Linked DNA regions of Xenopus tropicalis. The protein of the gene in region 1 purifies or fractionates together with the protein of each later gene. This does not show direct contact. Links are inferred from orthologs where the notes say so. Each region holds a gene or a part of one and is shown in the gene's direction. Other genes may lie near its edges. The genes, in order: adnp2 and cbx1.

Region 1 (3,289 bases):
TACATAATATGAATAATATTTCACTTGATCTTAAAAAATGGTTAGGAAAACAGTGCCTACATTTGTATAGTTAACTCACAAAACAGGTTTAGATTATTGTTGGCCAAGGCTTGCAGCTAATTTTACGAATGGAGAAAACTCCCAAGACTTTAAAATCTTTTGTTCTCATTTGGCTAAGACCCTCCCTTGATGTCACTGATTTTTTAAATGAAGTACATTTGCCAGTCAGTATGAATAAATTATCAGGGGGTCATGGAAATCTTATCTCGGTGTGTTACATATACTGGACCAAGAGATGTTCTCAATGAGTGCTGCAGTGTAGCATGACTATCCTTTCTCTCACAAATACAAGTTACAATCAACATATACAGATACAGGGTCTACCATACATGGTTATATAGTTAAGTTGTTTTGACAAATTAATATCAACTCCTTCAAACCATCCCCACTGCACATAAATACACATACAGATCTATATAAACACACACATATATAATCTATATACCAATACATATATAATCTATATACCAATACATATATAATCTATATACCAATACATATATAATCTATATACCAATACATATATAATCTATATACCAATACATATATAATCTATATACCAATACATATATAATCTATATATCAATACATATTCTAAACTAACTAGATCTTTAGATTACAATAACCTTGGATATTATGCTTGTTGAAAAAGTCATTCAAGCCGCTCTAGGCATTTGTTTTAATAGATGATGTACTCTTTGTTGTATTAGAAGTCACCTCGGAGTTCCATGACATTTAATGGCCATGGAACACCTCAGTGAGTTATAATCCTTATGCTTTACTATAGGAGGTACATTATTCACTATATAAACTTTTCAGTGAATAATGGGGCTTGATACAATAATATTATATACTGCAGACCCAAAGTATATAAATCATAGAATTCAGTGAACACAGGGCACTCACAGATTATATATAATGTATCTTATAATTTCTCTATCCTGTAAACATCAGAAGGCTGTGGTCAGAAGATATCTTATAATAGTGTTTCTGAATTTCTTGGGGACCCAAATAAACTGCAAAATGTTTGCCACAAAATTAACTTTTGTAGAGAACGTGTTCACTTGTCGCCACTACTAATACTGCTGAATATAAACCACCCTTTTGATTGCATATAGTATAGCAAAATAAAAATAGGAGGAGAGGAGTAAAGGTGTTTTGTGCACTGCTAGATGGCATCATAAAAACACCTTGTGTGCCACTAGCCAAAGGGAATATTTGGCCACAGTGCTAATGGGTAGTTTGTCAGAATTTCCAAATGTCTTAAAATTTAGTTGTAGAAAACTAGTTTGAAGATGTCCATGCCCTGTGCACAGTATCTAATAAAGAAAAAAAACAAAAATAACGGGCAAGACAATTTGATATAAACGTACTTGCATTGAACTTTAATCATAACATATAGGCTTATCAAGTTTTGAGTTTGTGAATTTGAGTTTGTTTTCCTAATTTGAAAAAACTTGCATATCGAATGCTCACATTTATTAATAAGGAAAACTAGTTCAAATAAATTGGAATACCTAAAATTTTTTGAGTTTACAAACTTGAGTTTGAAAATATGTTTTGACTTTGTGTCAGCTCCCATTTCTGCAATTAATAAATACTAGACATTCGAGTTGATTTTTTGTAGTGCAAAAGAAAAAAAAACTTGAATCATGAAAAAAATTCAACTGGAACTGTAGCTTCACTGATACTGAACATTTGCATGCCTTGGCTGTCGATCCCTTGGTTTTCACTTATTTCAAATGTTTACTTCATCGTTCTTTATAAACGGTTTAGTTCCTCCATTTTTCACATTGTAAGCTGAAAGCATGTTAGGTGTTCATAAAAACCTTTCCGGCAAGTGTGGATGTGCACCTATGCAATAGCTTATGTATAACTACAATAGACTAGAATGTTGATTGAATCATTAGTATAGTGTAAGTATGTGTTCCAGGATAAAATGCTTAGGTGCTGATCGCCTTGTCCAGAAATAATATCCACATTAACAAAAAAAACACTAACTTTTCGAACCTGACAGTGCAACCTGGGGCAAACGCTTGCCCCTCCCTGATGACACTGAAAGGGGCTGAGCAGACATATAAATAAACAACAGACTTTCATCCAACTGCCAATAGCATTACATGGCCTGACCCTGCTGATTTGTGGCGTTGAGGTTGGTCTACGCAGCACTAATCCACATCTTTATTGGATATATTGATCTTTCTGTTGTACCATGCCAGGAAATATGTTGCTGATTTTATCAATATATATTTATAATTAATTTCGTTACACATTTAGGTTTACATTTTAGAATTAAAGGAAAAGTAACACAAAATTTTTTTAAGTAAAAAAAATCTATTCTACCCTGCCCCAATAATTGCCCTAAAAAAAGGGTTTATGAAAATGCCAGTGCTCAGATATCATAAGTTGCAACTTTAACCATTTAAGGCCCCCATAGAGTACATGAAACTGAGAACTCTACATCTATTTCCTATTAACTAATTCTGAATGTTGGTGTATTACACAGATTAGAGGGCATAATTTTACACATTATGAAAAAGGTATTCATAAACATACAGTTTCATATGGTATTATATAGAATTTATTAGAGAAACATTAGCTGTTCTAATTTGTTTTTTTTAATCTTTTATAGGATTATAGGTCAAAGACATTTTGCTGCAGTCTTTGTAGATTTTCAACCAAGTTGCTGTCTTCATTCAAGAGTCATCTAAAACGCTATCATGATGATGAAAAGGACCAGGAGCTTATGGCTGCTTGCCCCAGCTGCCCATTTACTTCACAGTCAAAAACTGTGGTAAAACACATGCGGATATTTCACTCCAGTACTAGGAAAACCCCTTCTAATAGCACAAGAGAGAATGTAAATTTGCCTAGAAATCATCTGACTGTCAAATTTTCTTGTACAAAATGTCAATATACAGACACTTTATATTACAGCATGAAAAAACATGTTCTTATGACCCATCATGAAGACTTAGTAGTTTCATATTTTGGAGAAAAAACAGATGAAGACATTGCAAATATAAGCTTGAATTCCACCATTTCATTTTTTAAGCTCCAGCCCGTTGATAAATTCTATTGCAAGATATGTAATTCAACTGCTAGCTCTAATGATGCACTGGTATACCATATTTTGACATCTGAAAAACACAGAGACCTGGAACAGAAGCTGAGGGCTGACATTTTGGAAACTAGTAAAGAAAGATCTAGAAAAATGCTAACAAAGCCG
Region 2 (4,406 bases), on another chromosome or scaffold:
CTCTCACCCCAGTGCCATACCTGCCCACCCCCCAGTCTCACACTCCAGTGCCATACCTACCCACCCCCCAGTCTCACACTCCAGTGCCATACCTACCCACCCCCCCCAGTCTCTCACCCCAGTACCATACCTACCCCCCCCCCCAGTCTCTCACCCCAGTGCCATATCTACCCACCCCCCAGTCTCACACTCCAGTGCCATACCTACCCACCCCCCCCAGTCTCTCACCCCAGTGCCATACCTACCCACCCCCCCAGTCTCTCACCCCAGTGCCATACCTACCCACCCCCCCCAGTCTCACACTCCAGTGCCATACCTACCCACCCCCCAGTCTCACACTCCAGTGCCATACCTGCCCACCCCCCCAGTCTCTCACCCCAGTACCATACCTACCCCCCCCCCCAGTCTCTCACCCCAGTGCCATACCTGCCCACCCCCCAGTCTCACACTCCAGTGCCATACCTACCCACCCCCCAGTCTCACACTCCAGTGCCATACCTACCCACCCCCCCCAGTCTCTCACCCCAGTACCATACCTACCCCCCCCCCAGTCTCTCACCCCAGTGCCATACCTACCCACCCCCCAGTCTCACACTCCAGTGCCATACCTACCCACCCCCCAGTCTCACACTCCAGTGCCATACCTACCCACCCCCCCCAGTCTCTCACCCCAGTGCCATACCTACCCACCCCCCCAGTCTCTCACCCCCAGTGCCATACCTACCCACCCCCCCCAGTCTCACACTCCAGTGCCATACCTACCCACCCCCCAGTCTCACACTCCAGTGCCATACCTGCCCACCCCCCCAGTCTCTCACCCCAGTGCCATACCTGCCCACCCCCCCAGTCTCTCACCCCAGTGCCATACCTACCCACCCCCCCAGTCTCTCACCCCAGTGCCATACCTGCCCACCCCCCCAGTCTCTCACCCCAGTGCCATACCTGCCCACCCCCCCAGTCTCTCACCCCAGTGCCATACCTGCCCACCCCCCCAGTCTCTCACCCCAGTGCCATACCTGCCCACCCCCCCAGTCTCTCACCCCAGTGCCATACCTACCGACCCCTTCCCATTCCAGCTTTAACTGTGCAGCGACTATAAAAACAGTGAAGTGATTCCCGGGCTCCACACTGAGGGGCTAAATCTGTGCCGGACCAGGCAGCAGCCTTCACGCCTACTAGCCACTAACATGGCCCCACACAGCCAGCAGCCTTCACGCCTACTAGCCACTAACATGGCCCCACACAGCCAGCAGCCTTCACGCCTACTAGCCACTAACATGGCCCCACACAGCCAGCAGCCTTCACGCCTACTAGCCACTATCATGGCCCCACACAGCCAGCAACAGATAAGCTCATTAAACACTGCCCACTCGGCCCGTACATGGCTCCCAGGGAAAGAACTACACTTCCCGCCATGCTAGGCGGCTCTCCCCCCGCGCATGCGCACTCCCCCGATCCCTTGGCGGCAGCGCTGCTTCTTTTGTTTGGAGGCGCCACATCCTTAGAACCGAACCGGATCGGGACGCACAGGAATCAATTTGTTCTGTTCATTCAGGGGATCGGAACCCGCTCCAATAGCCGAGAAGAAAGCGAGCTCCAGCCGCGCAGCCGGACCGATCCCAGGCCCCAGGCACCGGGGAGCCCAAGCAAGCGGCGGGTAAGGGCGGCCTGATCCCCGCATGTGCGCCTTCTCTCCCTACTGCCGGACTGCCCCCTCCCATTCCTCTGGGAAACGGGCCGCTGAGCATGCTGGGATTTGTAGTGCGTAACATGCAGCCAGCAACGTTCTGTTATTCGCACACAAACAAGTTCTTGCAACTTAATTCACTAGTGATTTGCCTCCATCAACCTGTAGCATTCCAACTGCTCTGAAAACTACACTTCCCAGCATTCCCAGCACAGGGTATAACTTGTTACAGGGATTTCACAAGTCCATGTTTGCACTATGGATGTAGCTTTGTTTCCCAGGGTTTTGTGGGGGATGCTGGGAGTTGTAGTCAGTGGCCCACTCTTGGTACAATGTTCTTCCCAAACTTTATGCATAGTGCCCAGTCACATGGTGGCTCCTATCCCCAGGGGGTAAGGTTGGCATATTATCCCCCAGATGCACCCAAGGCCCTGTGTGCGCACATTGCACCTCAGGCCACAAAACCTGAATTCTGCACGTCTGGCCCATAGAAAAGCAGAGGGAATGTTGGCTGTGGGGCCCCACACTCGCAGGGCTGCAGTAGCCAACGTGATGTAACCTCCGGCCAGGGGAATGTGAGGGGCAAACACTCCCACACAGCTGGTATTATTTGGCTGCAGAGCTTTCATTCTTTGGGAGCCATAATTAGCTTTGTACATTGTGTGGGGAGTCGCTCACTCAGTAGCAAAGTGCAGAAATAGAAGAGGCTGCAGAATGGGGGCAAAGGAGCAAGTTCCTGAGGTGAAATGCATATAGCATGTGTGTAACAGAGCCAGGCGGGGGGGGGCAATGCCAGGCTGGGGGGGGAGTGTTAGCTCTAAGCCAGGCAGCCTGGCACGTGGCACAGCTTCACTCAAGGCTACTCCTATTCATTCTGTGCACTGTGTCTGCATGGCTACCAAATGTATTGCACGTTTAGGGTCTGGATTATTTTGAATGAATAGTCTGTGGAGCCCTGTAATACAGGGGTCCCCAACCACCGGTCCATGGGCTGTGCTGAACCGGGCCACCTCTGGTCCCAATTACCCGTGATCCCAACTCCCTGATGCGTTACACAGCCATGACAATAGCTATGCGGAGCCCAGGAAGATTTCTACTGATCACGACAAGGACCAAAGTACTTTATTAAGCTGTATGCAATAATAATAATAATAATAATAATAATAACGTGCATAGTATGCACTAGTTGCGCCACACCCCCCCATCCCCGGTCCTTGGAAAAATTGTCTTGCTTGAAACCGGTCCGTGGTGCAAAAAAGGTTGGGGACCACTGCTGTAATAGATCCTGAGGCCATAACAATCCCATGGAGGGAAACATCTGGCCCTGGGGACCCTCCGCCTGGACAGCAGGGCTGTAGGAGTCAAGCCGGAGCCTTCAGTAAAATCTTGTCTGTAGTCCCAGGCTACATTATACCGTCTCCTTTATGGGTCTCCCAGAGCTTGCAGTCTAATCTGCGCTGTCTCGGCGCTGCAATAGGGATCAGTTATGTGAATCCGAGACAGTCTGTGACATCTGCAGCTGTGTCGTATCTCTCACACATCGGCTCAGGCCATTAAAGGGGATGTTTGCATGAACTCTTAGTGTGTTGTAGATAGACCTATGAACAACTTTTCGCTTGACCTTTATTATTTATTTTGTATATTTCGGTTTTGTTATTTCCTGCCGGCAGCTGAAAATTATGACTGGGTGTTGGGGGTTCATCACTACCATCAGTCCCTGACAGTAGAGCTTACAATCTAAGGTACACGCACTAGGGTCGCTTTTATTAGAAGCCGAATAACCTGCCTGTATGGTTTTGGAGTGTGGGAGAGCCACGCAGATATAAGGAGAACATACATATTTCATGCGGATGTGTGCCCTGGCTGGATTCAAACATGTAACCCCACACAGTAATGCAAACTACATACACATATAGGGAATTATGTACCCCCTTATGTAAAGCATAAGGATATTATAAGTCACCAAGTTCTCCTCTTTCTTCCCATGCAGCTCCATTAAGCAGATAAACTGGCGACCTCCATGGGAAAGAAGCAGAACAAGAAAAAGATGGAAGAGGTTGTCGACGAGGAGGAGGAGGAGTACGTGGTGGAGAAGGTCCTGGACCGACGGGTGGTGAAAGGGAAAGTGGAGTATCTCCTGAAATGGAAAGGTTTCTCTGAGTAAGTGCTGCTCCATGGTTTCTTGTCCTTATGCGCTGCTAATGCACATTGAACCGGTAAGGGGAGCGTTCATAAACCTGCACGCCGCGTCTGTATTACTGTAAAATATTACAGGTATGGGGTCTCTTATCTGGAAACCTGATATCCAACCGATCAGGAAAAAAACAAAAGGGGAAGTAAACACAAATATTAGTGTTCATTATGACAACTTACATCAAAAGTTAAACTGAGACTCCTCCCCCCCCCCCCCCCAAGGAAATCTTGTATCCACCGATTGGCTAATTTTTTTTGTTTTTTATTTCGCCTTAAAAAGTGACTCAGCCTGCCATTGAGTGTGAGGGAAGCCCAAAACGCCTAAGGCTTTACTCATGGGTTAATAACTTTTTTTTACAGCTGAATATGAGGGATTTTAACCAGCGTCTGCTCATTGTACTTTTTTGCTCCCCGTTATTGATCCCAACTGATATCTATATACTGTGGCTGCTGGTTGGTTCTTCAGTTGCTGTGTTTATCAGAGGTTCTGAGTGGAATTCAAATGGGCCTTTTGCCACCTTTCTTA

Evidence for each region.
Region 2: the proteins of adnp2 (region 1) and cbx1 purify together in Homo sapiens (affinity purification with mass spectrometry; 5 studies listed by BioGRID and IntAct, with this or other methods). This does not show direct contact. The link is inferred for Xenopus tropicalis from reciprocal best matches to the Homo sapiens genes ADNP2 and CBX1.

What each region holds. Positions count from the first base shown.
Region 1 is NC_030682.2:96,896,370-96,899,658, reverse strand, and holds part of adnp2 (ADNP homeobox protein 2), read left to right. Parts: intron 1-2,692; coding exon 2,693-3,289. UniProt on the Homo sapiens protein: May be involved in transcriptional regulation. May play a role in neuronal function; perhaps involved in protection of brain tissues from oxidative stress. May be involved in erythroid differentiation.
Region 2 is NC_030686.2:11,721,858-11,726,263, reverse strand, and holds the start of cbx1 (chromobox protein homolog 1), read left to right. Parts: upstream 1-1,535; 5' UTR 1,536-1,657; intron 1,658-3,677; 5' UTR 3,678-3,707; coding exon 3,708-3,847; intron 3,848-4,406. UniProt on the Homo sapiens protein: Component of heterochromatin. Recognizes and binds histone H3 tails methylated at 'Lys-9', leading to epigenetic repression. Interaction with lamin B receptor (LBR) can contribute to the association of the heterochromatin with the inner nuclear membrane.